Linked DNA regions of Schizosaccharomyces pombe. The gene in region 2 interacts genetically with the main gene of each other region. Each region holds a gene or a part of one and is shown on either strand. Other genes may lie near its edges. The genes, in order: coq10, tim13, hap2 and mgr2.

Region 1 (9,059 bases), on a different chromosome or scaffold from region 2:
ATTCAAGTAATTCGTAAAATGGCTCTATTCGAGCACACTTTAACTAACAAAAAAAGAGAAAAAGGGTAGAGAGAAAAATGAAAGGATTTAAACGATTTGTCGGTACATATTGATAAAAAGGTAAGAGGAGGAACAATGAATATTCACAAAGAAGAACAGCTTTCATTGTATGCTTTAGTATTATTAATATTTCTAAATCTATAATAGCATTAAATAAATTTTTCATTAATAAAATGTACTCGACCTTAAAAATTTATCCAAGCGATAGATCTTCCAAGGGAAATATGACTTTCATAGTTAAGGCTTGTCATGTGGTATTATTAGTCATTAACAAAATCGTAAAAAAGAAACATAAAAAAGGATGTATGCAGAAATTAAAATAAAATACAAAGTATGTAAGACTCGGAATGCAATTATAAGCAAACCTACCCAACGTACTTATATGTCCTTCGATAAATTTTCGAGTTCTTCACGAGTTCGCAACCATCGTTGTAAATTTGTTTGTGCCCATTTGTAGATACATTCATGAACAGATTTAATTATTTCTTCCCACTGCGACGTCTGACATTCTTTGTAGAATTTAAGCTCTGCATCCATGAATTCGTCAATTTTTTGACAATCCCAATTTGCAGCCGCTAGTTGATTCTCTATGGTATTCTTATGCTGCTGGAGACTTTCTTTGCTAATGGAGGTTTCACCTTCTACAAAGTCATGTAAAACGTTTTGTAAGCGACCAAAAATTGTGTAACCCTTTTTGGCTTGGGAGACAACTGCTCGTTGAATAGTATTCAATCTGGTCGCCGGGTGTATCGTGGGTGAAGCAGCTACCATAGAGTCGGTAGCAGACATTGTGTTAGAGTGGATGAGCTGGTCTTGAAGAAAATCTCGCTGTTGTATCTTCAATTGCTTATACTTAAGAGCATCTGCGGCACACTTCGCCAGCTGCATAGACTGAACCATTTTTTCATAGACGGAGGAATTAAATTCTTGTTCGAATTCCTTGGCGTACATTCCGCTGAATTCAAAGGCATTAGCAATCACTTGCAAATGATTTGCTAATTGTATTTCATTGAGAGCAGTCAAAGAGTGAAATGCCGATCCTAACTTTGAAAGGCAAGACTCCATTTTAGAAATACTAGATAAAGTTGAATGTATGGAAGGACTCAGACTATGATGAAGGAATTTCCGACAAACAATCACTTCTTGAGTATAGGAAGTCAAATCTTTGAGTACTGGAGAGGGTGCGTCTTTACCATTAGAAATGCTGGAACGACGCTGTGTGGGAGATAACTCCGAAGGTGAGCTATTGTAATGTGGAAAGTCTGGTGCCGTTGGGGTAGAAGGACTTTCATTCAATTCATGCGTAGGTTGCATATCGCTTGTTGGGGGATGACATTCATCCTCAGAGCCCAAAGGAGAAGAAGGTTCTAAACTCGAAGCAGTTGAAGGATTAGATAAGGAATGGATTGGCTTTAATGCGCGAGACGAAGGGGGACTTAATGAGTTGGCCATTACAAGTGGCATGGAAGAGCGCAAATGAGCGAATGGGTCATGCTCAGTAGCAATAGGAGGAAGGCGGAGTGGATCAGTATTTGAATCCTTTGGTAAATCTAAAGATGATAAAGTCACGTGCCAAGAAACAGTGCTATGAATAAACTTATCGAAAATAGGATTGGAACGAATGCATGGATGCAAAAGACACTGACGAAGAAACAATTCTAGCATCCTGGAGCGAAAATTTAAGAATTCAGCATCACTTTTAGCTTTTCGTGGATGTTTGGCATAACTTACTAAACAGCGGAGCATGTGTGTACAATGAATTGCACACAGCCCATGTTAATAAACGTTTGAAAAGAAAATGAAAAAACGCGATGAAAGATATTATATCTAAATATATTGGAAAACTTACAAAGTGATTGTTTTCCCGGTATAGGAGGAACAATTGCAGCGGGATACTGCCGACGCATCAACTTAACCAAGGACTCAAAATCCGAATATCTCCGCCAAACGGAACGCTTCTACAGTATAAAAATTAGCAGCTAAACTCATAGATACCAAGGATCTCAAGCCACATACCTGGTGTACAATTTCATACTCAACATACGAACCGTCCGAGGAAGTTACTGTACCGACGATCTGGATTTCAGTTGAATAACCACTTCCTCCCGAGTCGCTGGATATAACTTCAGGTTTCTCTTCGTAAGAATCGTCTTGTGCCATACTTCTTTAATCGATTTAATGGAGAAAGAAATGTAGCTAGTTCGTCATATAAGTCATGGCTTTGCAGACTGGATTGTATTTCGTTGTAATATGATAGAGATCGCAAATCAATATACTTATAACTACGTTATACTGTATATGAGAATGGATTAGATAGCGTTATACTGAATGCATTGTAAAATGGGTTTCCATAAGGTCAAAGAAACAATCAGAACTTTAAAATGACAGGGGAAACCTATGTATATAAAATACGAGATTTCGAAAAAAAAATAGATTTTGGTTTACGTGGAGAATTTCTTAGTACTATCACAGTAAACAAGTAATGCAGTTGTAGAGGAGATTTCTTTTTAAGGTTATGATAGCGGACAGTGATTATATTATCCAGTATATATTTCGAAACATCTTATCAAATCACTATAGTTTAATACCGATGGCTGTTGTAGCTATCGTTAACTGGATTCGTTTGGTTATATCGTGCGATGTAAACAATGCGGTATAAATAAGAGGTATATTATAATAAAACTTGTTTTCATCCTCGAAATGAACTAAATTAATAATTTATTTTCAATGATAAAAATTATTCTAATTTCACTATATAAAAATGCTCATGGATAATTTCCACAACTTCTAATGGACCTATGGAATGGTGATGCTATAGTTTATTTCACGAAAAAACAGCTAGAACTTTTAAGGCTCCATTCAGCAACTTTATATACTAAGTAAATCCTTATAAGTTAAAAGCGATAAAAGGATTTTACATAAAAACACTTTGCTTCATTTATTTACTGGAGAAATACTTCCCGTTAATGCAAATCGGCAAACACCGTATTTGCATATTGCACAGTTTAATAGAGCACGATATTAAAATGTTGGTAAACACAAGATTGTTTTTCATAAAATTCGTTTCTGTAGCTATAATGGAAATCATGTCATGTTTATCATCGAAAGAAAAGTCGACTATAAAGGTGCTCCGGGTATTTCATGAATTGTCTTACTTAAATGATTTTGCTTTCCCTAGATATATCTCAGTAGACCAAATTTGATAGACTTTTTAACAACGATCATCATAGATCACTTTTTCTTTCCTTCAGGGATTCTTTACTTTTAAATAACACTTGTGATTGTTCTGGATGCATTTTGAATGCAAATCTTCATGAAGCATTCCATAACCAATTTCACCTTCTATTCAAAAGCAAGGAAGGATAATTTTGTAAACAGTTGACCTTCAAGGACTCCTGATCTCTGGTTATCAACTTTAGAGGCAAAGCTCATCCGCAATATTTCAGCACTAAATAGAAAGAGAGACACCCCTATAATTATATATATTTGGTTATCAGTGACTCAAGAAAAGGAAGGCATATTCAAGACATATTGTTAAAACAAAAAAAAAAATACAGTTTCGTCAAAGTAAAGTTTCTTTAAGAAATGAGAATTCCTCCTAAGCTCTTGATTTAATAGTAGAGAAATAATTTACCAAGTTTTTTGTTGTGCATCAAAAAAATTGCAGTAAAGCAAACTATACCATGATATTGGCGAGTATCCAAAAAAATGAAATAAAATAAATACATAAGGTGAAGAGAAGGATCCAAAATTTAGCTTACTGAAGCCATGATTTCCTAAAAGAAACCTTTTATAAAAATATATCCTTCTTTGGTTGAAAGAGAGACGATGGAAAAACGCTGAGATGGAAAGAATAGCGGCATAGCCCCTTTGTATGCAGGATCATTGTAATTATTTCTCATTTTCTGATTCTAGCTTATGCTTTATTTTAGCCTGTTGGACGAATCCTTGAATGATTTCAGAAGCTACAGAAGATCCAACAAACTTGCTCATCATGCCATGGAGTTTGCTTGCAAATTCAAAATCCACCTCTAAATCAACACGAACACGTCCCCGAGATGCCTCTTCAATACTCCAATGTGTTTTAAGCCGCCGGAACAGACGATGATGGGACGCGTCTGCCAACACGGTTAGGGCAACAGGATCACAAACCACCTTACTATCAAAAGTTTCACACAATCCTTTAAAACCAACTGTAAGGTCGGCCTTTGTAGGATATCCAGTTTTAGGATCGTATTCAGTGACTTTGGACTTTTGACAGAAAGGCACAAACCGTTCGTATTCGTTGACATTGCTTATTAAACTGAACAAGAACGAAGGCTTGTAAGGCATAAGTCTAGAAGCGCGGTAGCATTCCAACCGTCGTAACGTACATCGAAAAGCCATGAGAATTTGGTTTTGGTTAGCGATTCTTGTTTTCCGATGGTGGAATGCGTTGTGGGTAAAAACGTTCTTTCAACCTGATGAATTTTACCAATCGTTAGAGGTGGCCCATCACTTCATATTCCGCTATGGATTCTTAACGTGGGAATGGACCTCAGCAATCCGTTCAGCTCTACATCCGCTTATATTTGCAGCGCTATATCGTGTTTTGCAAGTACTCAAGTTAGACTCATCTTACTTCGTTTTCACGAACGCTCCAAAACTCCTGCAAGGAACGTTTGCTGCTATACTAGATTATGGAACTTATAAATTTGCACTAGTAAGATATGGTTCTAAAACCGCGAATTGGACGTTGGCTTGCTCTCTTGTCTCCATAATGAATGCGTACGTTGGTGTCCGAACCTTTTCCAATTCATTGGAGACAACATTGACTTCCATAGGATTTTACTATTTCTCTTACTACCTAAAATATGAAAACTCTTCTCCTGAGCAACGTAAGAAAGCGTACTCTTCACTTTTGGGCTTCATTTCAGTCGCAGCCTTTGCTTGTTTCATCCGACCTACAAATATACTAGTCTGGATATTCCCACTTTTATTCTGGAACAAAAATCCTCAAACACCCATAAAGGATTTACTCTCGTTTTCCAATGTTTTTAATCGCTTTCGTTTTTTATATGCTCTCGGTTATGGGCGGCTTTTTGGCATATTCGTTTTGTGTGTGTCTTTATTTTTAGTTAATATTATTGCTGATAGAATACTTTACGGTCGTTTTGTCTTTCCCATCATTTCGTTCTTTCAATTTAATGTTACTTCAGGCCTTTCCTCTTTGTATGGATTGAACGCATGGCACTATTACCTTTCTCAAGCCCTCCCATTAATATGCGGAGGATTTCTTCCATTCGTATTACTCACAATGGACCTTCAAACAGCGGGAACCATTCTTTGTGTTTTCTTTCCCTATTCACTGATAGGACATAAAGAACTTCGGTTTGTATACCCAATTTCACCGATTTTACTTACTTTAGCTGGAAAATTTTTTTCATCATTTTCCTCTTGGAAGCGTGCAGCACGGTTTTTCTTCCTTATTGGATTGGGACATGCTCTGGTAATTACATTTTTATGCCGATTTCATCAATTTGGAGTCATGGAAGTTATGCCATTAATACATTCACTTGCTGAAAAAAACCAAACTGGTCTAATACTTGCTCCGTGTCACACTACACCATGGCAGTCGCATATCCATTCACCTTTTGCTGAAAATGGATGGAAGTTCTTGACATGTGAACCGTTCGAAAAGCCCTTTGATGAGACGGATCGTTTTTACGAGAATATGCCTACTTTTCTAGATAAAATTAAAGAATGGCCGGATTATCTGATTTTCTTTGAAGAGCGGTTTTATAGCTTATACAGCTATCTTGACTCCCGAGGGTTGAAGTATGAAGAAGTACAGAGGTATTATAACTCCTTGATTCCTGAAAGTCGAGAGAGAGCTGGAGCTCTGTTAGTGTATAAGAAACTCTAATTACATGATTCTTCATACCCCAAAAATTTCACAGGTCAGCATAATTATCTGCATTTTAACAACTATTGATGTATTTTAAATGAAACCACTGATGACTATTACTTGCTTTGGACAATATTTGGTTTATCCCTAAAACGCCAGCTTGATTTCTAGCTCCCCATTATAAACGATTTGCATTTCTATTATGGTTCGTGGATTATAGAGGGGGCCATATCAAGTCTTCACAGAGCAAGAGGAAGCAACAATTTGTAGACGAATAAAGTAATCCTAAGCCATTTACTATTAAAACTTAAGACATGGGTGGAACACTTATCTTCCCCGAAGCCATTATCATGAATCAACATCATTTTAAAATTTTCAACCTTTGGCGACTTTAACCTTTCAGAAATTTTCTTAAATACAAATTTATAGCATATCCTGCACTCTCCAAACAAATCTGAAAAAGAAAAGTTAGCTTACAACGCGAACACCCAAGTCACTTAAAGAATTTGCAATTGTAATTTTATGCTATGGAGTCGAGAAAAACGCAAAGGTCATTCGTCTATGTTGCGATTGGGACTTGAAAAAATAATTTTATACGGCCTAGCTACGATTCTAAATTAAATTTTTTATAATAGTATTTCACAAAATATTTGGAATATTACGGATACTTTAATTTTTAAACACAGTAAACTGCTTAAACGGTCGGTTTCTAGAATTGTAAAAAATTCTGAATTTCATTGTTTTATTAGATGAAGTATGAATATATATAATTGTAGTAAACACATCAACGATTCAACTAAGCATGTAATGTACGAAAGTAATAGCAATCCCACTTGTGTCAAGAATCTCATAACTTCACTAAATTTATTTACTGAATAGCATTTACACTATTATACGCTTTTTTACGTAGAGTTAAAGCATTGCTACATCCTAACGCGCAAAGTGTATATTGTGTGACTTACATATCTACACTATTCTCGTCTGCTAGAAATTACCAAAATATTGCAATTCAGCAGCTTCAGTTGATATAATGAGTTATTTTTTACCTCATTTACATTCTGGATGGTAAGTTTTTGTGATAGATGGATTTATTCTTCTCTAACTTATGTTTATAGGCACGTTGATCAAGCAATTTTATCAGGTACGCGAACTTTAAGAAACGTAGAATGTTTCTCGTTTCACAACTTCGAATCAGCTTATTAACCTTTTTTTTTATAAATAGAACAAGAGCGCTTGGTTGTCATTCGATTTGGTAGAGATCATGTATGTTCTAATGTCGATATCTACTTGGATTAAGTCTATTTAATATTGTAGGCGGATTAATTTACTAACGCGTAACGGAATAGGATGAAGAATGTATAAAACAAGATGAAGTCCTATACAGAATTGCTGAAAAGGTCGTCAACATGGCTGTCATATATTTAGTGGACATTGACGAAGTTCCTGACTTCAACAAGGTAAGTCTAAGTCTTAGTTGGAAAGTCATGTTGCTAACCTTATTACCATCTAGATGTACGAGCTTTATGACAGAACTACAATAATGTTTTTTTATCGAAACAAACACATGATGATTGACTTAGGTACTGGTAACAATAACAAAATCAACTGGCCGTTAGAAGATAAACAAGAGATGATCGATATTATAGAAACTATTTTTCGTGGTGCTAGAAAAGGTAAAGGTCTTGTTATTTCTCCAAAAGATTACTCTACCCGACATCGCTACTAGAAGCCACCATTTGCTTATGCAAGAAAATGGAGAGGGGATAGAAAAATCATAGTAATTTGATAGTTTTTGGCTAAAATGAAAAAGTCTTTTTGCTTTAATTTTTACGCATAATTTGTACTTCAAATGGTATAACCCTTCTTTTAAAGTCAGTAACAATACAGGATTTGAAATTATCTAGTGGATGAATTGTAATAAAGTATTATCAAATCCTATGAAGAAATTACATTATATGATTAAAGAAAAGCATGAACATGATTACTCTTGCTATGATTTAACAAGAGAGGTAAAAAAGTGACACTCAAGTTGCCTTATTAGTTGATCTAGCGTGTTTCTTTAAAGCCAGCAAAATCTCGTCAAGAAGGGTGTATATAACATGAGCGTTTAGAGATTGGTTTTGGAGAATACGAAATATTCTTTTCACAGCAATATCAGGTGTATAGCCGGGAAACATGGAAGCAAGCAAAATCCCTGCTTCTGCTTTCAATTGATTCCTATCAGCATAAGCTGGCTTTCGCGCCCGTGAATGACGGCGGTCTTTGGAGTGATCATGATTAGATTTACCTTCAAGTCCTCGTCTAAACTCGCGTAACTTCCTATAAATCTTCTCAGGCGTAAACAACTGAAACAGTTGTAGTCGTATACGCTTTTCCAAAGCTCCGCCAAAAAGTTGTTCCAATATCGATATATAAGTTTTTTTCGGTAACCATTGCTGCTTTGCATCGTCATTTGGAGAAAACAATTCGACTAAAAATTCCGAGATGGGACCTGAGAATGACGAGTTAGTGTTAACGTTGGATGCGTTGAAAGAATTATTAACTTCAAACCCTAAGACTTCTAAAAGCTGCTTCCATTTTTTGCCAACTTCTTTAGGATTAAACATTTGTGGTGCTGTGATATTTTGTTGTGACAAAAACATCCTCAACATTTTGCTGTCACAAACCTCTGGCATTCTGAATAATGATTGAAGATATTCTTCTAAAGCACCCCTTCGATATTCCAAAACATTTTTGTTTAAAGAGGTGATGATCGATTTTTGAGGAAATTTTAAAGATCTGACTCCAGGGTATGTTTGCTTTAGCTGCTTATGCAACTCTGCAAACTCTCGATACCGTCTAGCCACCATCCATCCGGAACGGACATGTCCATTTTCAAGTCGTTCAATGCGTATGGTGTAAACAGCAAAGTCTGGGGTGTTCTCCTCTTTGCTAATTTTAAATGAATCAATAGACACCCGAGAGCGATTAAAGAGTTTACTGTCTTCTTCTTGCGACATATACTGATCTCGTTGACGTTCTTTGCGGTGAATTGCTTTTTCAATCTCTTGATGGTTTTTAGTAAGGCTTTTCAATTGCTTTTGGTCAGCAACCAGCTCAGCCTTCTTTATAA
Region 2 (7,472 bases):
ACGGTTTTCTATTTGGTTTATTACTTTGGTCTATCGTGCTGGCAAAGCCAGAAAAAAATATGTTATTATCAGCTGCGATCTTCAGTGCTTTAATATGTTTCAAACATATATTCCTCTATGTCGCACCTGCTTACTTTGTATATTTATTACGTGTTTACTGCTTTACTCCCAACTTTCGCCCTCAGTTTTTAAACATATTAAAGCTTGGTAGCACAGTAATTAGTATTTTCTTACTAGCCTTTGGACCGTGGATTTACATGAAACAAATACCCCAACTTCTCTCAAGATTGTTTCCTTTTTCCCGTGGTCTTTGTCATGCTTATTGGGCACCTAATTTTTGGGCCTTGTACTCTTTTGTTGATCGTGTTGCTTTTGCTGTTCTGCCGCGTTTTGGCTATGCACTAAATCAGGGAACGTCAATAAATGCTCCTACACGTGGTTTGGTTGGGGAAAGCTCTTTTGCTGTTTTACCAAACATCCCCCCAGCACTAACATTTTACATATGTCTCGGTCTTCAAATCACTGTTTTAATCAAACTTTTTATTAAACCCACATGGCGGGTTTTCGTGGGAGCTGTCACTCTATGTGGTTGGATAAGTTTTTTGTTTGGTTGGCACGTACATGAGAAAGCTATTCTGATGGTAATTCTGCCATTTAGCATATTGTCTTTAATTGACCGTCGGTACTTGGAAGCATTTCGTCCATTAGCGGTTTCTGGTTACCTATCATTACTTCCCTTATTATTTACTCTTAATGAAGCCCCTATAAAATATTTGTTTACAGGTGCTTGGATTGCTATGTTATTAACTTTTGACAAATGTGCGCCTGTTCCAGTTAAAAGAGTTTTCTTACTCAATAGAGTAAACATTGCTTACATTTCAGGATTTGTACCTCTTTTCATTTATAACTGTTTTATTCACAAGTTGGTTATGGGTGACAAATTTGAGTTCTTACCTTTAATGCTTTTAAGTACTTATGCTGCATGGGGTATTTTCTGGTCTTTCGTTAGTCTTCTCTGGCTTTATTTCACCGATTTGAAATGAGATAATGATATTATGATGTGCCATAAAAAAACAAAGGTTCCAACTCGAATAAGAAAAGCGATTCTGTTTTTAAGCTTGATTTAGCACAGATGAAATGGAAATACAAGGTCATTTTCATGTTGTGTTGGTTCCATAAACAAAATGTTTTGTCAGTAGATGAAATCTTAGATCTCTGTAGATGTTTTTCTTAAATTAATAGTCCCTGTCAAAAAGTCGTTTTTTTTTTAACATACTGTTGTTTCCTAAAATTGGAATTATATATTTTTAAAATTAATAGATTTACTAACACTTTTTCTTGATAATAAGCGTGAATTTGGAATTATACATTCTAAACATCCACAAATGAATCACTTAATTGACTTTTATATTTAATGTTGTATTATTAATCGTAAAGAGTTAAATTTTTCTTACTTCAGAAACCTCGTAAAATTAATGTTTAACAATATATTTTTAATATTCTTCTTGGCCATAACGATAACTCCCAATTATTTAAAAACTCACACGCAGTGAATATTCCAATCTTCTCTTTACCTACACTCCCACTTCTTTTAATTCCCAATCGACGATATGTCTAGTAATCTTATCAAATCTTTTGGATTAATAGCAATTGGAGCGATCTCGGGTGTAACTTTCACGCATTTTTATTATAAAGGATATCAAGGATCCGATGTACCAGACTTGACACCCAGGTATACCAAATTTGACTCTGCTGGTCGAGCCTTAGAATCTATATATGATTTTAATGCCACCAAATTTTTTCAATACGGCATACCAGGACCAGTGGCAGACCAAAGGGTAAACCATGGCTATATGTCTGTGTTCGATCGGAGAACACGAAATCCATTCTATGTAAGCAAAAACACCGTTTCCTAAGCTTTCTTTACCTAGGAATTATAGATCACGGCAATAGATTAAATGTTTAAATTTCTGGTCTCTCGGAGTGCATTATATTAATAATAAACTAGACAGCGGAAACCATTACACAAGAATCGTTGAACCAACGCAAAGGCAATCGCAGGTACTCTGAGTTCGTTCCAGATGATAATATTCCTGAAATGTTTCAAGCAAAGTTAGGAGATTACAGAGGAAGCGGTTATGATCGTGGTCATCAAGTACCTGCAGCAGATTGTAAATTTAGTCAGGAAGCAATGAACGAAACTTTCTATCTTTCTAATATGTGTCCACAAGTGGGAGATGGTTTCAATAGAAACTGTAAGCAAAAACTTAACGAGACTTTTTCTTTTAATACATTAATAAATTTGACTAGTTACTAACTATAACAATTAGATTGGGCATACTTTGAAGATTGGTGTCGACGCCTTACAAGTAAATACGGCTCAGTTACCATAATGACGGGACCGCTGTATTTACCTAAAAAAAATGAACGTGGACAATGGGAAGTTCAGTATCGAGTAATTGGCAATCCTCCCAACGTCGCAGTTCCTACTCATTTTTTTAAAGTAATCATTGCAGAAAAATCAGGAGAGCCTACCTCAAGTCCATCAGTAGCTGCATTCGTTCTTCCCAACAAACCTATTGCTGACAACTTTCCGTTAAAGAACTTTGCAGTTCCCGTTGAGGTTGTGGAACGAGCAAGCGGATTAGAGATCTTATCAAACGTACCCAAGGGTAACCGAAAACAACTTTGCAGTGAAGTGGTGTGTCAGTTAAATGTTAAGGAGTTTGTTGAATCAGTTAAACAAAAACAAAAGAATCAAGGTAAATGATAAGAATAAGGAAATTTAATGAATCTCTAGTTTTTCTAGTTTTTCCGGTGATCGTTCTTTATTATGAAAATATTTAAACTGTTATTTACACAATAATACTTAAATGCTACATGTCAAAGAAACAATTATAAGTATTTTACCCAGTAGTATAACAACACTTGTAAGTGTTTAGCATGATTAGGAAAAGAACATGAAACGAATTTTAATTGCTGAAAGTTTATAATTATTAGAGAGAAAGCGCGTGAGCTACGTTGAAAAGAAAAATTTCTACGTTGCATATTAAGCTTTGCCGTCACTTCACAACTATACAACAAGACACATATCATAGGAGAGTAAAACAAAATGATAGAAAAAAAAATCATTATTATTCAGTTGAGATTTTTCTGCTCTCGTTGCATACGAGAGATATAGGTTCGAGAAACAATGTTCCAAGCATCCATATAGCGTTCCATACATTTGGAAACGCAAGACTTTTGTCTAGTTAGAATAAAAGTATTTTAATAGTTCTCATACCTTTTCATTGGGATCGAATGTGGAACCAGGCTCCGGGATACATTTATCAAAACAGTTCTCATTGATTTTCTAGATAAACCGATTAGTTAAAACATTCAATAAAACATAAAAAATGAATGGAGCATACACTTATCAATTCGCCAGCTTGAGCAACAGCAAGTTCCTGACGAATTTGTTTCATGAAAATGGATTTTTTGTCTTCAGAAGAAGGTGCATTTCCACTATTTCCACCGAAAATGCCCATTTTGTTTAAGTATAACGTTAAAACTTATGAATGTGGATAATTTTTACTCCTTTACAAGGAAAATTAATGAGGAAATGGTACGTTCGTGGAAAGTACCAAACGGTGTACTTAGGGAGACTAATTCAGAAACCGGCCATCATCACCAATTAGACTTCGTTAATAGAAAATGGATTTTCTAATATGCTGACATATGCGATACAACCAGACAGCAATCTTTGTTTTGTTTTCTACTTGGTATAAAAAAAAAAGATTTAATAAAATATTTCTAAACTAATGGATAGATATACTATTCGGGTCCTTTTGGTGAGTTTAGAAATAAAAGTTTTTTCAGCGTTTTTTTATTATTATTATTTTTAATATTTTAATATACGAAATGAATCGTTCATGACTTTTCATTACCCTTGTTTAGAAAAAAAAATAAAAATCCCAATTTGTAAGAAATTTTTATAGAGTTTTATAGTCTCGAAATTAAATCATGGAATTAGCACATCTTTTACTGCAAATAATCTGAGAATCAAACAAGTCACGTAAACATTTCAATGTTTAATACTGCTAGCGATATTATGGTGTATTAAATTTTATAACAAAAACGAGTTAGCTTGACATTGATAAAATTAATGCGACTGTTATTTACATTGAGAATTATATTGTTAAGTGAAATAGGATTATTCGAAGGAAAATCTATTTCGCTTACTATTCCTTTATATTTCTTTAGAATGATACCTTTGGATTGACTATCAATTGTATCTGTAAATCCACGGACACTTTCTTAATTCTGCGAAACTGCATGGGCGGCAAATTTTTCTTATCTTGAAATCTCTATATAGCCTTGCCCGAGGTAAATAAATAACAGGACGGCTGGGAGGTTGATCTTATCCAGAGCCAAACTCACCACCAAATCTCTTCTGTTTCTTTACAGTGGGAGAAATATTGTTTACCATTGTTATTATTATTATTATAGATATTCCTTTTAGTGTTTATTTTTTAAAACAAAAAAAAATACTTGTAACGAATTTTCATTAAGTATCATCTCTTGGATCGCTAAAATAAATCAGCGAATATTATAGTGCTGAAGCATTACACGTTCGAGGAAGTTGACAAATTTTAATAATTGCTTATCATTCCTATTAAATTAATAGTTTGATTTCCCTTTCAGGTTGCTTCGCTTTTGTAGCCCTTTGTTTCCCGTTCTTTTTATTTATTGTCCTCCACACTCATATAAAAAACTTTGACCATAAAAAGCTTAGACAAGCTCTTCTCAAATTCATTTTAAAATTATCTGTTCGCAAGCATTTTTGTCCCATGTCTGTGATAGCTCCTTCTTTTGATATGGCTAACATACTCACGGAGTTGTCTTCATTTTTAGGAGCATTATCCCTGGGATGTTGGGTCGTTTTACTGATCCCTCAATTACTTGAAAATTATAAAAACCAGTCTGGTGAAAGTATCTCTGATTTATTTTTAATCATCTGGCTTATTGGCGATTTCTTCAATGTACTTGGTTCCATTTACGGAAATGTCTCTTCTACTGTATTGGTTCTCTCATTTTATTACATTGTCTCTGACAGTACCCTACTTATGCAAATTTACTACTATCGTTGGAAAGCTGCCCGTCGTATTGCCAGTCGTGAACACGAACCCTTACTCCAAAGTCGTTCATTAGAAGAAGGTCTTCATGCACCCATTGGTAAACAACAAATTTGGTGGGATCGCCTTTCTACCCGTCAACAATTTGGTGTAATGGGATGTGTGGTTATTGTCTCGACAATCGTTGGAAACTTAATTATTTCTAGTGCCTCTTCTGACAAGAGTGATGATGACTTGAATGCATGGCCGTTTACTGCCGGTTGTATCAGTTCTGTGTTATACTTCTGTGCTCGTATTCCTCAAATCATCAAGAATCACAAAGCAAAGTCTACCGAAGGATTATCCATTATCTTTTTTGTGTTGGCCTCTGTAGGAAACACTTCATACGCTTTCAGCATTCTCGTATTTCCCGCCTCCGATTACTTAAACTACACATATGCTAACCTGCCTTGGATACTTGGCGCGTTCAGCACCATCTTCCTTGATATATATATCTTCTACCAGTTTATCAAGTATCGTAATCATTATTAACACAGCATAATTATCAAAAGGTCATAACTTTACCATTGCGGAATAAGAACGGCTGAGGGAAACAAATCTATGCAAGCGTTAATAATATATTCCATGTCTATAGTTCAAAGTTTTCAGAGGAAACAAAGATATGTCGTTTAGATGCTAGTAGCAACACAATATTCTTTCAAAAACATGTATTCTAATGTCACACATGATGACAGTAAACACTAGTTTGATACTTACCAAGTTGGTTAACCGGTTTATCAAATACATCAGTGCCGTATGAGGCACGGGGAAAGGTAGTGGTAAACTTAGTTGGCGGTGACACGTTCATTTTCTCAGCGACCTGTTGTGCCAATTGGCGTAGCGTCTCCTCAGCTGCAATAGTTATATTACAAACTTGACCATCGTGTCGGATAGAAAATCTGCCTGATGTAGGAGGGGTGCGAGTACAAGTAGAAGACGAATTGGCATTTTTAGGCTGCTTGATGGGAGCAGCCGTTTCTTTTACAGAAGAATTCTTATTTTCCCGTTCTGCAGCTCGTCGTTTTTTATCGCGTTCAATTTCTGCGAGGATTTTCTTACGCTGCTCAGCATCTTCAGCCTTTTGTTGACGGATCTTTTGCAAGTCACGTAAGCGGGCTTGATCCTGCATCTTTCTCATAGCCTGTGCAGTTTCATCATTGGATTTTTGAAGGATTTTATAATTTGTCTTCTTCTCTTCCAGAGCCAAAATCCTTTCTTTTTCCTTTTTCTCCTTTGCTTTCTCTCTTAAAGCTTCAATAGCTTGTTTTAACTCTTCGGGAGAACGCTTCTTAATCTATGTTTTATAATCGTTGTTAATAAAAAGAAAGGATCGAGTGAAACAAATTATTGTTTTCGTGAATTATAATAATAAGGATGGTTAACAATTCGAACGCTTCAACCATTCAGCAAAAAGTAAAAGGAGTAAAATCTATACATACCTCTTCTTCAGTTTCCTCAAATTGATCATGACTGGTTTTGGTACTATGAAATTCAGCCATTTCGATGGAGGAAAGCAATTTATCGCATTCCAAACATTTCAAAACCATTTTTGTGTAGAGTTTGTAGTTGCAAAAGGCAAATTACAATGACGCTCAAAAATAGCCCTACGTTCCATCGACTCAACATCTAACGTGCTAATATCTACAATATCGTATTACCAAACATCGCAGTTGAGAGCATTATAAATTTGTTGGTCATTGAAATAGAAATGACAGGTCAAATGAAACAAAATAATTGTAGTTACCACCGATTACGCTATGAATTAGAAGAATAAATGATTGTATATATTGCACGACATCCGCAGACCGATGATTGAAAATGATTACTGACTTTCGTGATCCTGTAGTTGGCATCCACTCGAGTAATTCGTTTCCTTTATACATGGTATGCTTTCTAAAGCATCGCTGATATTCCTTGAAATAAAAATGTTGATTTTTCCCTAGCATAATGACCATTAACGAAAGTATACAATATCTATTTAATGATTGTCTAAACCAAAAAACGTATTTCCTTTGAATAGAAAGTGTAAACGAATGCGCAATTTTTTTTTGAAATCATAATGTTTACTTCATCCTTGCATTCTTAAGTTGTAATTAAGACAATTCAAACGCATTAACATGACATTTAGAAATTAAAAAGGATAACTTGAATCATCCTTTTTGGGTATTTATATCATTTATTAATTTCACAAACAATAAATCCATATACTTATTGGGATTTTATAACCATACTGCATTCGTACATTATTCACCTACTGCAAAATATTTTTTAGCATATATTACTTTTTACTTTCAAAATATCACATTTATTTTAATAATA
Region 3 (7,587 bases), on a different chromosome or scaffold from region 2:
CTACTTTTTACTACTACGAAGAAGCTATTCAGCTATATCTACGTAAAATCGTCATGGTAAAGAATAATTAAATAGTTTTTAATAGAGGAGAATTTTCGTTAGAGCATTGGTGTTTTTTTTTTGGAATCATTCTTTAATTTCAGAGAGAATTGGCGTCTGTAACACTTTCATCTACACTTGACCAAATATTTTAGTTTCCTGGGCTAACAAGACTTCCAAAGATGGATCAAGAACGTAAACTGCAATTTTTGTTATCAATAGCGGCAGAGACATACGCGATTAGTCCATCATTGTCAAGCCACTACTTGAGGAGGATGTTCTCTCTTTTGGAGGAATGGAATTTGGAAACAGATCCAAAGACACTTTTGCACGGGTGTTCCAAATGTGGATCTTTGTTTATATTTGGCCGTAATATAAAACTTCGTACAATTAGTTCAGAGAGGAAGGCACGGACAGATTTGAAGAAAGGAGAGGTCTCAAGGTTGGGCACAAATTTAGAAATTAACTGCTTAGTCTGCTCTTATGTTCATGAAATTCCTTTAGGGGTACCTCTTCGCTTGCACCAAAGCAAACAAGCGTTACGTGCTAAAGCTATTGCTGAATCTTCATCTACGAAACTCGAAAGTCGAAAATCTGCCCATAATGCCAAAGTAAAACAAAGACAACGTTTGAGAGCCTCCGGACTTAATGGAATTTTGGATAGGAAGAAAAAAAAAGATGAGGTTGCAAAAAGCACATCTTCATTAAGTTTACAAGACTTTATGTCACCGATATGAGTGATTCTGATTGATCTATCAATTTTCTATCTAGTTGTCATATTCTTATACACATATTTTCCCTCTAAAATGAGGATTGAAACTTTTCTGACATTTATTACAGCCTTCAGCGCCGTGTACTTCTTCCTCTTTTAGTTCAGCTCATTTGTCTTAATGTAGTTTTGATTTAAAATTTGAACTTCCCGTTTTAGATTTGATCGTTACCTTTTCCCGTTGTTTACTTTTATTTACATTTGTATTAGAACTATTCGTTTGGGTTGGACGAGTTTAGACAAGGGGCCCCTTCTTCTATTTGTATTTACTTTTAACTTATTTATTTACTATTTCTTTGATTTGTCACTTGTATGGTGCGAAATATATACGGAAATGTCAATCACAGAATAGCAAACAAATCGTCAACTTGCGGTTATTGTGCGTAGCATATTTTCAGTAGTTTTCTTTTGACAACGCCCTTATGAGCATATTTTTAAGTTTCCGATTAATCGTTCATTCCTTTACAAGAGAGGTCTCTCACTGTCTACCACCTGAAGTTGAGCTTGTGTCAATTACCAACTCCAGTTTTGCATTCTGAGGATGAGTAATAGAATTGGGCCTCAGAGATCCACAAAAACTGCAGCGAAGCTTCGGCTTCTTCCTTCTACAGAAGAATTTGATGATTTTAGAAGGCAGGATACGGGGCGCGAAGTGTACTCCCAAATTCCTCAAATAGAAGGGTCAACGGCAAAACGAGACGCAGAGCATCTTGGAAAACGGCATCGAGAATTCTTACCAAGAGTAACTGCCTATTGTACATGCGATACATTTAGAGTCGACTTGCTGTTTAAGTTTTTTCAATCTCGAAGAAGTAGTCATAAAACAAGACCTAAACAATTTGACGAATGGTTAGTTAATATTTTTGCATTTTTCTCATTCTATTGATCCTTATTGATATTTACTTGAAGAGGTTTATCTAACATTATAACAGTATTTATAGTCCGTATAGCTACAATAATGAAGAGACGACAGACTTACTTCCTGACACATTGGAGTCCTCCCGTGGAACGTTAAATCGAGAATCTTCTCAAGAAAGTCTACAAAGTATTTTTGAAGAATCCGGGTTGGACAGGAATCAACCCTTGTTTCGGGAAGTGTTTTGCTTTACTTATGGCGTTGTTGTTTTATGGGGATACACAATTGATGAAGAGCATCGTTTCTTAAGAGAACTCGGTCGCTTTGAAATTGAAAAATTAAGTATGCAAATTACTTTGGGTGACAGTCATTATCATATTGTTGTATCTTTAAGCAGTTATTAACATTTGTAATTTTTAGAGATCGAAGATATGGAGGTAGAAGAGTTTAACTACTATATAACGACTCTTTATCAACCAAGGGTATGAACATTTTTATTGATAAAAATTTTTGTCTTTAGCTCTTTTTCCTCATGGTGAAGCTAGTCGACTAACAGATATAGATATTCAACGACTTTATAGCACTTCGGGATGCATCCAACTACATGATTCGTCTTTCAATTTCACATGCTATTGCTCAATCAGTCAAAATATCACTATTTGAAGAGCTGGTCAACGAAACAATAGATGCTACTAAAGATACACCCCAAATGATTGCCGAGACTGGCAGAGTGAATTTGAAAAGAGAGGAAATTATGATGGCCGTAGGCCAGTTGTTTATTTTAAGAATTAACATTAATTTACAAGGAAGCGTTTTGGATAGTCCTGAGCTGATGTGGACGGAGCCGCAGTTAGAACCTATATATACAGCAGCACGGTCTTACTTGGAAATTAACCAAAGAGTTGCTTTACTAAATCAAAGAGTGGAGGTAATTGGAGACCTACTTTCAATGTTGAAAGAACAGATAACACATACACATGATGAATCTCTAGAATGGATTGTGGTAATCCTTATGGGGCTGTTGGTGCTGATAGCCTTATTCAGTATAGTGGTACGTTTGGCCGATGGTTTCAAATTGAATGACTTCCGTTTAGTAATCAACAATTCCAACAAATTTATTTTACTGTTTGCTAACACATTATTCTACATAGGTGGATTGGAAGCTGTTTCAATAACAACCGAAGAATCTTTCCTCTTTTTACATTATGTTTACATAATTGAAGAAATGGGAAAGGGCAAAAAAATTAAACCATATTTATCGAGTTGATTACGCATATGTTTCGGCTTTTTCCTTTAGTTTTTTTTTAGTTTCGGTTAGTTCATGATTTATTGACATTACACGGTAGTCTTCTATAATAATCCTACTTAATAGAAGATAAAGCTCTTTTTTTCTCTTCTTTGAAGATTCCTAGTTGATTTCCCACATAAAAGAACGTTGAAATGGGTTACACAAAAAAGGACAACAACAGCCATAGTACGTAGATATTGTATTGATTTCGGCACAAAGTATGACTTTTCAAAAAATTACATAAGGTTTTTTTTCTTCGGTTGCAGAGTCCAATTTTTACCATCAATCATTACATACTTCATATACTTAGTCAAAAAAAAGCATGTTAACGATTATAGATCAATGGCCGGCAAAGTGATTTTAAAACGAATGAAGACTTAAAAATAAAAACATCAAGCGCCTGCCTAAAACAAGTATTATGTCTCACCAGCTTCCTTTTCTTTATTTAACCCTTTTTTCTCGAGCACTTTAGATAGCAATTGCGCTTCATGGCGATACCGCTGAATGTCTCTTTCAACGTTGTAAATTTTCACAGCATACATTTCGCATTCCTTTTCAATTTCCGAGACTTTTCTTCGAATCCTTGCGGTTTTACGCCGATACACGTCCTCTATACGTCGAGTTCATTAGCAAAAAGTCGTCAGACAAAAATCGGTACACACCTTCAGTTTCTTGAAGCAAATTTACCACCTACGCGGTCAATAAATAATTACAAATAGGTAATAAACCTCCTACCTGTGGATCCATTCCCGAAAGCTTCACGTTCTCAGTTTCTGGTGAAGAATGCAAAGCTAGTTTGCTTAAAATCTGTATTGTATTTAACGAAAAACTGCTTACTTCGTTATAGAAGATTGCCTACTACATTACGCAACCAAGGGTTTATAACGATACGAACCGAAACCGTTATCTAGTTTTCTTACCCATCAGCTGGGTATTGCTAGTGAAAAACAAATGTCTAATATAAAGCTAATCCTTTTTTGGCTGACTTCTCTTATCCATTCATATTACATTTTTGCTTCTTTTGGGTAGAAAAAGAATGGATCATGTCTCACATTTACAATACGAAAGTCAAATTTCAATAAACAAAGGTACATCATACATGTGAACAAATATTTCAAAAACGATTTATGATCATTTCATAACAAAGAATCATGAATTTACTTCGGATAAGTTCAAAAATGATATTGTCAGCCACTGATTCAGAGTAAATCTGTCATTCGTTTTATAAATGCACTGTCATAAACGAATACTTCCAGCAGAACCAGGCTCCGGTTGCACAGAAAATTTCAAGTAATAAAGCAGTGTCTCATTGGCAAAATAATTTTCAGAAGGGAAAAAGCGAAATAAAACAGAAAGAACCTTCTGAAAGAAAATTGAAACCAAATAATGTTCAACAACGAAATAAAAACAAACAGAAATGATAAAAAGATAATAAAAAATACAAGGGTTTCACCTTGCTTCTAGCATTGAATTGAAACAATACAGACATTTATGAGTGGGCTGAAATTAAATAAAGAGGGGCGAGGAGGAAAATTAGAAAAAAGAGAAGGGGTCAAAGAGGTTTTAGACGTATATTTTTTGGTAATATAAACCAGTCTAAGATAGAGGAGTTAATATTTCATGAACAAAAGCACATAGAAATTGTTTAAAAACAACGGCAATAATAAGAACCCGGATACACAATCCAAGTATTAAATTAAAGATCCCTTCAAGTACCCAAGAAATTAAGTTATTAATCAAATAAAATAATAAACAAAGACAAAGAAGCAGAGTTTCACTTAAATAATTGTCAAATAAAAATCGACATGTTTTTTTCGACCAAAAAAAAAGAAAACTTAAAAAGAACGAAAAATAATAATTATGGGGAGATATTAAAGCGGGCATTTGTTTTAAAAGCAAAAACTTTTTTAAAAATTGGATTCAAGCAAATTCTTCCAATATGGCTCTTGCCAAATATCATCATTCCAAATTGACTGTGGAACAAGAGAGTTAAGTTGAATGAGAATGTGAAAATCTTGAATAGCTTGAGCAAGTCGTTCATCCTCCCCATCTTCTTCGTTCGTAGATAGTATATAATCGTTAAAAGACTTGTCGCCTTTTAAATCATCGTTACACTTGATAAAATCGTCATAAACAACTTTCCATGCATCAAAATCTTTAAAAGCTTTAAAGAAAACCTTGTTGCTCAGCATGGAAGGGAGAGCAACGCTAATCCATTTAGCATAATCAATTCCATTCGACCAGCTATGCCTCCACAGATATACAAATATGTCCATAAGACCAGAGGCTTGTGCATATTGGCTGTCATCTTCGGTCAACCACAAACACAAGGTAGCCACAGCACTGATTACAGTTACATGTGATGCTAAATTGTCACGGTTTTTATTGTTATCCCATGCATCACGAAGAAAATCCATCGTATCGCTAAACAACTCAGTAAGCGATCGCTGAAGTTGGAAAAATTTATCAGGCTCAATTCTTTGGGCAAGAACGTCACAATTTTCACATAGATATCGAATGAGGAGTCCAAGAACTTCATAGCATTCACAAACCGTGTACGACACAGTTCCATGCTTTCCTTTCTGACCAACTGCCTTAACTAGCATTCCCAGACTTCCTCGAATCTCAGCAGAGCAGCGACCAATCACCAAAATCATAAACCCATCATTTGGCATAATAGAGGCGGGACCAGCAGCTTTAAGAAGGTTAGAAAGAATAACGGTAGCTGAAGAAAGATTTTTATCGGTGATAAAGCGTTCAACAACCGCATCCATCAAAGGCTGGAGATTAGCACGAATGGCCTCGGAATACCATGATTGAACCGGGAATCGCGAAAACAAATCGCTAAAAAACGAGAAAGTACAGTCCAACTTCCATCCGCGTCGTTTGTCGATACCTTGGAAAATGGGACGCATATACGTCTGTACGTTGTCGAGGGCGTATAGTGCGTTTGAAAGGATTTCAAATGCTTGTTCAAATGGAAATTCGTTGATAATAAATGATGTATAGTAAAGGAGATACTTAGCTGATTTTGGGTTGGAAGACAAAGTACATATAACCGGGATACAAAGATCATAATGTTTCAAACAACACTGTAGTAAAGTAGAAACCCTTTTTTTCACTTCATAACTTCGTAAAATGGCTTCTTCACTGCAGAAAGCGAGAAGGATGGAGACGCCCAAATCTACGTACTCGTAATGAGTGGAAAGGAGCAAGCGGTCCAAAAACTTCATATCCATCCTTTCCCAGCATTTGAAGATGAGATTGGGATGATCATTGAGTAATTTTGCAAGCATGGTCAATGACACAAATTTACTTGTATCGTCCTGGGCATGCAGCAAAGAAAAACAGTTTTCCAACAACTCCATAGAACCTCTCGACTCGCCGGAAGCATTTGAATCCTCGTCCTTATCAGTAACAAAATGAACCTCCGTTACATGGTCCTCACTCAGCTTTTCAGACGCATACGAGTCATCTTCGGAGAGAAGCTGCTCATACGATATAGTGCGCACGCCTTTGGGACCCTTGTGAAGATGAAAGTGTGGAATATGCATTAAGGTGAATTGAATTGTACCTCAATAACCTATTATTTATGAAAAAAAAACTTAAAACCGAGCTCTTCTCACTGCAGTCTACGACACTAAGTAAACTTTGACAAACGAAAAGAGGAATGCACCAAAAGTCTAACAATTTTCAAATCCAACAAATTTTCGTTCAACAATCCGAAATCTCCAAACTTCTCACCTTTTTCCTCAAATTCCACTCAAATCTGCCAGAAAAAAAATGTTTCTACTTCAAATTACACCAATTTTTCTTGATTAATTAAATAAATATCGAATTTGTAGTCCTCTACGACTTTTTACTCTTTCAAGCTAGGTGTTCCGCTTATGCTGAGGCAAAAAGGCATGCCTTGAGTTTTGTCTCCAATTGACGAATAAGGTATGCCCTATCTTCTGGTACTTTGGAAAGTGCCCCCACTTGGGATAAAAAGGTAGAATGCCCCCATTTCCTTTCCTATCGAAGGCCTTAGTGGTGGTTGACATAGCAACATAGCAAATGTGCTTTATTTACATAATAGATGGCAAACGACTCTAGCTACTACGTGACTCTAAACAAAGCAAATAAACAAGCTTCAAATTGCAGAGATTGAACGTGTTTTGCTTGTAATTTATAGTTGAGGATTTTTTCTGTCTTAGTGAATCCATTTTTTGAAGAAGCGTTGTGGTAAAAAAAATGTCTAATACTGGGTTACCCAAACCATGGATTGTCAAGATTTCACGCTCCAGAAATCGTCCCTACTTCTTTAATACTGAGACGCATGAGTCTTTATGGGAGCCTCCGGCTGCCACTGATATGGCTGCCCTGAAAAAGTTCATTGCAAACGAGTTGCAGGAGTCAGTTACACCCACCGAGGCAAGCAATTCACCCAAGATTCGTGCTAGCCATTTACTCGTAAAGCATCGAGAAAGCCGTCGTCCCAGCTCATGGAAGGAGGAGCACATTACTAGGAGCAAGGAGGAGGCGAGGAAGCTGGCTGAACACTATGAACAATTGCTAAAGAGTGGCTCTGTAAGCATGCATGATTTAGCCATGAAAGAGTCGGATTGTAGCTCCGCTCGTCGCGGAGGTGAATTG
Region 4 (7,577 bases), on a different chromosome or scaffold from region 2:
GTCACGTTGGGATTTTCGTTGCTGTAGAGAAGAACGTTTACTCCGATTGCTACTATGTTTCGACAGTGAACATACTGGGCAATCTTTCATTCAACTGAACGATCCTGAAAATGAAAATGAAAAGGAAGAACAAAATTCCATTAGCATTAGGGAATTATCCTACTTCAGCACAAAACTTATTTCATTGATCTTACCCAAAGAAGCACATAAGCAGCGGTATATCATGCTAAGCTCCTTAGCAAAGACAAGGGAAGCTGATTTCTTTTGGTCTGAAGAGGAAAAAACTAATTATACAAACGAGCTTCTCAGCAACCCATGCAAATTCCTTTGTGAACTAGATCATTTCGATTCATTTCCTCATCAACAACAAGATCTACTCTGGAAGTACTTAGCGGAGTTTTCTGCTAGTTTAGAGTTAGACCCCAACCTTGCCCTTTGGAAGAAGCAAGTTATTTTTTCAAAAATCGGTCATCCGAAGTTGCTGGTTATGCCAATATCTAGTTTCCACTGCGTACAACGTTTCCCTGACCTTGTTTGCGTTCAAACTTCAACTGCTGAAACGTTTTTGTCTGTGGATCGTGAATTAACAACTTATGACCTAAACACTATTAAGTTGTTAAACACAGCACCTAGTCGTACAGCTCAAAACTGGCTTTTTATCATGCATCACCTAGAAATTGTAGGCTATTTATTTCCACATTTGGTTCATCTCGATAAACAGTATAGTTTATTAGATTATGCAAAGTCTGTTGAGCACATTCCAGAATTGGGCACTGTACAACGAAAAGGGTTTTTGAACAAAGTCGCATTTGATGATAACGAGGCTTTACTTTACCAAGTTTAAACGTACTGTCACATAATTTTCTATCACATGTTATCGACCATTCAGTGTTGAGGTTCCTAGGAATCTCTTCTAGGATGGTAGTGTACCTTTTAAGCGAAATTTTGTTTCATCTGCACATTCATTATTTACAAACCTATACGAACTTGACAAAAGTTTTTACGAATATACTAAATATTGACTTATTAATACTTGAAAATATTATCACTTTTTTTGAGGTGGTCTAAGTAAAAATGTGTAGGTCGAATTCGTCACATAGGGTAATAAATGTAAGTGTAGGACCGTTAAAGTATGCTCTAAATAATCTTTTAACATATAAAAAGTAATGTGGATTATTTGCAAACACCATAATGAATGTTGATCAAAATACCGGTTCAACGTCGATAAATAACAAACAGCAGAGCCCACCGATACACAAACCTAAAATTGCAAAGGGACTTTAATAGTCGTATAATCTGGAGAATGAAATGCTTAGCGACCGATCATTGCAACGTGATAATAGGTTGGCTTAGGTGCTTTGTTTATTTACATTTCAATGTTAGTTGTCATGGAAACGAAATTCATACAAAATAAAGCGTATGCGGCTGTAAACAAACAAAAGATTCAACATTTACATTTACCCATTTTACCCAAAAATGGGGTTTCATGGATGTTTAAGTACAGATGAATATGAACCTGAGTTAATTGAGAAATATGGGAATCCTGAACCACCTTCTTCAAGCATATTAATTAATACACGACCAGTCAATCCATTTTTATCCACTTTCGTGTATGTAGGAAAGGCTAGCAGTTCTGAAGATGTGTCTATATCTACAGGTGAGGAGGAAATGCGAACCCTTTTAGTTGCGTCTGCTGTTAAAGATGCAAAAGGTTGGGTGTACCTTTCCGGAAAAGACGTTGAAGAAATAAAACAGAAAATAAAAAACCTGCAGGGATTACTTGGTGTTTCTATAAAAAAACTGGCTGTCGAAGCCAAAATTAGAGAAGCTGCTAAGAATTTGATGGTTGCCCAAGCTAAGGAGAAAAAAGGAAAACATAAACAAAGTACGATAGAGCATTACGAACAATGTTCTCGTAGAGTTAGAGAACTTTCTTCTAAGATATGGCTTATTGAAAGGAAACTTGCAGAATTTTATATGCACCTATTGAAGCATATGGTTGCTGTGTGCATTGCTGAGCTTAAACCAGGTAGCTGTAGCAAGGTATCTTCACCGGTTTCTGCCATCACCGCTGATGAGAGCGCAACTGGATTTCGAGATGAAGAAATAATGAACAATGAGGAAATTGAGCAGCTTGTAGAGCGTATGAGCCGTATACTGGAAATTGCTCAATCAATGGGTAATTCAATTCGTGAACCATCTGTCCTAGATGCAGTACAAATGAACGCTGGTGAACGGCTACTCGAGCAAGTTCGTCACTTAGAGCTTATTTTGAAACAAATATACGAGAAAAAGTTGGAGGAAGATGCTGATGCGAAAGATATTGCTCCTCGCGCTATTGTGAACTTTTGGCGGTTACTTACTGAGCTGTTTCGCGGCGACAATGATACGCCAGAGAAGAGTAATGCACTTCCTGATGATGAACTCGATAAACATTTGAAATCTGATTTTGACATTGAATCATTTTGCTTTCTTCTGCACCATCTATTGTCATTATACCAAACACAAAAGAAAGAGCTTGCTTCAAGCAATGAACTTCTAGCAAGTGTCCGAGATGAAAATACGAAAAAGCTTAAGGAGCTTCAAGATATCATTGAAGAGCAGAGTAAACATATGGCTCGCCTTCATAGGGAAGGGTTTTCTGAGGCCGCTGAAAATAACGATAAACCTAAAGAAACAATGCCTTGTACGTATGATTCATCTCTAGCAGATGACCATTCGGATACCTCCAACCTGAGTAAAGATAAGGCGAATACACTTTGTGCCCAGTGTTCAGTATATCTTTCTGAAAAGTATCAGCAACAGCAGTCCTTGTTGCAATTGGAGTCTAATATCCAGCAATTGGAAAATGAGAAAAAAGCTGCCAAGCTTATAGAAAAGGATCTGTTGTCTCAGATTTCTCATGTCAAACTGCAATTTGAGCAACAAATAAAGGCACATCATTATGCGAAAGACCAGGTTAGAAATTTGAACGACGAGATGGTTGCCTTACGTGCTGAGCTTGAAGTTGTAAAGGCTATGAATTCCCAGCCTGATGATCCCGATTCCGATTATGCAATAAAGCAGAACAATGCATTGCAGAACAGATTAGAGGCTTTGACAAGAGAAAATGAGTTATTACAATCTCGCGTTACAACTTTGGAAATGGAAAAAGAAGTTCAGGAGAAGAACTCTGCTACTGTAAGCAACCTTACGCTAAAGCAATTGCAAATGGAGAATATATTTGCAAGCCTCAATTTGGAGAATTCATTTGATTTTGGTATGCCATTAATGGGACCATACACTCAACAAAATTTGCAGTTAGAGGATGAAATTTCTGAAATTTCTAGTCCTTCCTATTCCTCCGATGATGACAGGAAAACCATCTCCGAGACTCAACCAGCACCTAAGCAAAACATTAACGAAGAATTTGAAAATTCGACTTCTACAGATGGGTCTGAAACTAACAAAAATGAACAAGGGAATAGTCTTAGCACCCCTGATAATGAACCGCGTTTGAGGAAGGAGAGCTTGAGCAGTGATGTCCTACTTGACGGTAGCGAGAAACCAGCGCAAGCTGAATTAACTATAAATTCAGAAAACTTTCCAGTTGACTGTAGCCTTCCTGTTCAAACGGGTGCTGACGTCGTTGTCCCTGATACAACTGATGAAGAAGTCATAACCTCAGAACCCGTGAAGTTAGAACAACCGATCAATGAAAACAGCAATGTAGAAGAAGCTGAAAAGGATTATCAGCCGTCTGAGAAAGATGACAAATCTCTTATTGGCGGCATCCTCAGTACAGTTGAAATGACCCAGTCTACTGATGTGAATGACGAGATTGAAAATACTTTAACCATACCTGTTGAGGTAGAGCATTCTGATAATATTGACAAAGGCAGTGAAGAAAATGATCTTGGAAAAGAAGCCGTTGATGAAGCAAACAACAACCAGAATGATGTTCTAGAATCTGTCGTGGTGGAACAATCTACTACAACTGATGACTGTGAAAACAAAGTATATGAAGGACAAATGAACGACAAAAATTCCTCCCTTGATATGGTCAATGCATGCGAAGGTATTAATCAGACTGCAATTGGGTTCGTTGAGAAGCCTGACAAGGTTACTGAGCTAATCGATGAAGCTGAAGAAAACATCGATATATCTCAGGACATCTCTATGACCGAGACGAACGCTGTAGATGATGAAGTGCAAGCAGAAAACTCCATCTTACAAGATGAAGTTGAAGAAACTCGTCAAGATGATATCGAGAAGGATGAGCTGGAAGACATCAAGGAAGTAAAAGAGGATGAAAATTTAACTACTTTAGAGGAAACAATTGAGATTCCGGCCAACGATATTGAAGTCCAGGACCCTGAACAATGTTCATGTATGAACAGTACTGAAAATGATAATATCACTACTGAGAATTCAAGCGAAATCGTACAAGTTATTCATACAGAAGACGATTCCTTGCATTTTGATGACAATGTTTCAACCGATTCAGTAAGTCTGGGGAATAAGTCTAGGATAAGCATGGATTCAATGAGAAACGACTGTGAAGCGTTTTTGCCGAAAAAGGAAAAATTCGGCTCTTTAAGGACTTTACACAGTTTTGAAAGTAGTATGAGGAGAGTATCTACTTCTGCAGCATAACCAAATACGATCTTCTAAATTTGCAGCTGTATAAGGAAGATGTTCCGATTATAAACTTTTTTCCTTCTTGGACCTTTTTGCAGGTGCTTTCAAGTTTTTTTTTGAATTTTGGCTAAGAAGCAAACGAAAGATTTTGAAGACTATGCTTTCGCAACTTTATGAACGCAGTAAATTCTGCTTATGAATGGTGCATACAACGGTTTATGGACTTGCATATTTATTTTATTCTGGCATTAATTGCATTTTGCTTTACCAGTTGGAGATTGAATCGAAGTTTTATATAAGATACCAACTAATAATGCGTGTACAAAAAGAGACAACAGACGCATTTACATTACAATTAGCATCTAAAGAAGTGATAACATCAAGCATATATAATACATTTAATAATACTAATGAGCATATGTATCTTCAACCCATATGTAACCGAATCTTCCTTATGACAAGCATTATTGATATTGCAAGTTTTAAGGCACAAGTATTGTTTCTAAATATCTTTATGATCAAATAATAATTAGCTTATTTGTAATAGCTTGTCTTCGATCATTTTTTGTAACTATTGCTACAAATATTATTCATCGAAACAAACTAATTTACCAATTTACCACCTAGCAAATTACCCAAATCTTTAAATCGTAAAAATTTTAAGGAAAATTAAATCGCCATCAAAATATTAACAATATGGTATAAAGACTTTTTTAAACATGAACTATCAGAAAAATGCAAAAGTCCTTTGATGTAGCGGCCAAAGCTTTTTAGTTTAAATGCATGATAGTACAATCATCAGTACATCTTTAACTCAGAATTCAGGAGAAACAAATATTGTACCTCATATACTAACAAAATGATAGTATGATACTTTTATTATAATCGGATTAAACGAAATTAGCACTCAGCAACTTCATTTGATTTACGTGGAGAACTTTTGGCCTGTTGCATAGCCAAGGCAAAAATACGACTGGAATTTGCATTTTCATTTAATAATCTTTGATTCCAATGTGAGCCTGACTGCTGTATTAGTGGTATATCTTCGTTGCGAATTACAGAGCCGATGGACATGAAAAAGCCAAAAGTGGCCGCAGATGTTAACATGTATTGACCTAAGGTCCTTAAGAATCCACGTGGACCAGGCCCATAGCGCAAAACTGCTACTCCTCCAAATAAAAACCCGATGCCAAGTCCAGCAGCTGAACCCATAATGGCGCCCATTTTTACTGTTCAGTGTTAATGACTGAATTCATACAATATAGAACTTACGCTTATCCACAGTTGAAGGTTGCATAGATTGCATTTTGAGTAGTTAAAGGTCTTACTTTTATTTAGAAATAGAGAGCACTAGTTTCAAGGGGGATTTTGTTGGTAGGAAAAGTAAGGTAGTATACAGTTATTATATTGGATACCTAGGTATAACAATAGATGTAACAATTTCTTTTGTTAAATCAATAGTTTAGTTTAGGAAATGTTAATTTAAAGAAAACCTATATATATATTTTTTATAAGCCCAGTTTTTTTAAGTAAATGTAACAATGTATTACATCCAGGCATGCGTTAAGTGAGAGCATAGGCTTAACGTTATAATGACTTCTGAATTAAAATAAAACATTGCATTGGCATGTATTGCAATTGCTAAAGTCTGCTATGTATATCTGACATATATAATAAATTAATTCCCCTCGGCTTCGGATTGAATTTCCTACCTTTTGTTATTAAGAAGCCTATCGCTAATTAATTACTAACATGTCCTTAGCGAAATTTAATTGAGTTGCATTCTTAGTTACATCTACAAATGGCAAAGTTCTAATGAGGGAGTGTTGTCATTCCTGCAGCAATTATTTTATTATTTAATAGACAAGTAGAACATAAAAGAACAAAAATGGATATATGTATATATATATATATATATATATGTCAAAAAACATTATTTTAAAGATAGCCTTCGTCAGACAATTGTGAAAGGACAGCAAAAGTAACCTCAGAAACAGAGTCTTTGGGCTTGATGTTTACGGTAGTCCACTCAGCAGGTACTTTAACAGATGCATCAGCATCAGCCAGAGAAACAACAACGGCAGCACCAGCACGTTGCAATTCTTGGGCGTAAAACACTGAAATAGCATCTAAGCGAGGTAAAAGAGTGACATGGCGGCGACCATCCTCGTTCAAGGCTGAAACTAGAGCGCTGGGGAGAAGTTTATCGGAGGTGGCAGGAACAGCCAAAACAAATCCTTGAGAGTATTTGGGAGGATAGGATTGACGTAAAATAGCGACAACCTCTGGATAAGAGAACCACTCAGGGATGTTGGCACCGACGCGAAGACGGCGACGAAGTTCAGTACCACTGATGTTCAAAGTACGGGTACCGGGTTCGACTTTGTCAACTGGCTTGTAGATGTCCTCATCAGGAAGGTAAGTCATCATTTGGAAAGGAACAATGGTGATACCGATTTCCTGAGCGTATTGTTCAACAAGGTACTGAGCATCGTAAGGACCATAAAAATCCTCGCCTTGACTGTTCTTACCAGGACCAGCATGATCACGACCAATGATGAAATGAGAAGCACCGTAGTTCTTACGAATGATGGCGTGCCATAAAGCTTCACGAGGACCAGCCATACGCATGGCTAAGGGAAGAAGAGAGAGCTTGGCGGAACCCTTAGGATAGCGTTGGAGAATAGCCTCGTAAACACGCACACGGGTGAAGTGATCGATATCACCAGGCTTGGTCATACCGACGACAGGGTGAATGAGCACACGGGCACCGTGTTGCTTAGCAGCACGGACGGTAAGCTCACGATGGGCGCGATGCATGGGATTACGGGTTTGGAAAGCAACGACGCGATTCCAGTTGTTACGCTGGAAGTCAGAGCGAAGTTGAGCAGGTGAGTAGCGGTACTCTACGAAATCGAAATGGCGAATAGGAGTAACGGCTTGAAGTTTACCACCAA

The links.
Region 1: mutations in tim13 (region 2) and coq10 together harm fitness more than expected from each alone (negative genetic interaction), as found in Schizosaccharomyces pombe (one large-scale study listed by BioGRID).
Region 3: mutations in tim13 (region 2) and hap2 together harm fitness more than expected from each alone (negative genetic interaction), as found in Schizosaccharomyces pombe (one large-scale study listed by BioGRID).
Region 4: mutations in tim13 (region 2) and mgr2 together harm fitness more than expected from each alone (negative genetic interaction), as found in Schizosaccharomyces pombe (one large-scale study listed by BioGRID).

Annotation. Positions count from the first base shown.
Region 1 is NC_003421.2:876,553-885,611, reverse strand, and holds coq10 (ubiquinone-binding protein Coq10), read right to left. Parts: upstream 4,447-9,059; coding exon 3,952-4,446; 3' UTR 2,718-3,951; downstream 1-2,717. Other genes in the region: sorting nexin Atg20, read right to left, coding at 439-1,790, 1,910-2,018, 2,077-2,220; gpi10 (pig-B family GPI synthesis protein), read left to right, coding at 4,445-5,965; U4/U6 x U5 tri-snRNP complex subunit Dim1, read left to right, coding at 6,978-7,012, 7,063-7,088, 7,170-7,210, 7,294-7,404, 7,458-7,673; sorting nexin Snx12, read right to left, coding at 7,972-9,059. UniProt on the Schizosaccharomyces pombe protein: Required for the function of coenzyme Q in the respiratory chain. May serve as a chaperone or may be involved in the transport of Q6 from its site of synthesis to the catalytic sites of the respiratory complexes.
Region 2 is NC_003424.3:4,480,133-4,487,604, reverse strand, and holds tim13 (TIM22 inner membrane protein import complex subunit Tim13), read right to left. Parts: upstream 3,615-7,472; 5' UTR 3,528-3,614; coding exon 3,411-3,527; intron 3,353-3,410; coding exon 3,284-3,352; intron 3,241-3,283; coding exon 3,139-3,240; 3' UTR 2,948-3,138; downstream 1-2,947. Other genes in the region: dolichyl glucosyltransferase Alg8, read left to right, coding at 1-1,043; endodeoxyribonuclease Pnu1, read left to right, coding at 1,611-1,892, 2,009-2,255, 2,331-2,770; G-protein-coupled receptor Stm1, read left to right, coding at 4,830-5,645; SPOM_SPAC17C9.11C (zf-C2H2 type zinc finger protein/UBA domain protein), read right to left, coding at 5,675-5,712, 5,871-6,447, 6,593-6,700. UniProt on the Schizosaccharomyces pombe protein: Mitochondrial intermembrane chaperone that participates in the import and insertion of some multi-pass transmembrane proteins into the mitochondrial inner membrane.
Region 3 is NC_003421.2:657,483-665,069, forward strand, and holds hap2 (Ino80 complex subunit), read right to left. Parts: upstream 3,728-7,587; 5' UTR 3,700-3,727; coding exon 3,688-3,699; intron 3,643-3,687; coding exon 3,615-3,642; intron 3,563-3,614; coding exon 3,369-3,562; 3' UTR 3,258-3,368; downstream 1-3,257. Other genes in the region: rpp21 (RNase MRP subunit), read left to right, coding at 222-776; sif2 (Sad1-interacting factor 2), read left to right, coding at 1,350-1,657, 1,741-2,006, 2,085-2,146, 2,227-2,715, 2,816-2,839; protein asi1, read right to left, coding at 4,860-6,506; peptidyl-prolyl cis-trans isomerase Pin1, read left to right, coding at 7,186-7,586.
Region 4 is NC_003423.3:1,564,927-1,572,503, forward strand, and holds mgr2 (protein Mgr2), read right to left. Parts: upstream 5,994-7,577; 5' UTR 5,927-5,993; coding exon 5,893-5,926; exon of another isoform or gene 5,850-5,892; coding exon 5,521-5,849; 3' UTR 5,278-5,520; downstream 1-5,277. Other genes in the region: protein meu25, read left to right, coding at 1-844; septation protein Uds1, read left to right, coding at 1,477-4,635; SPOM_SPBC27.05 (uncharacterized protein), read left to right, coding at 4,820-5,146; sua1 (sulfate adenylyltransferase), read right to left, coding at 6,559-7,577. UniProt on the Schizosaccharomyces pombe protein: Required for cell viability in cells lacking mitochondrial DNA.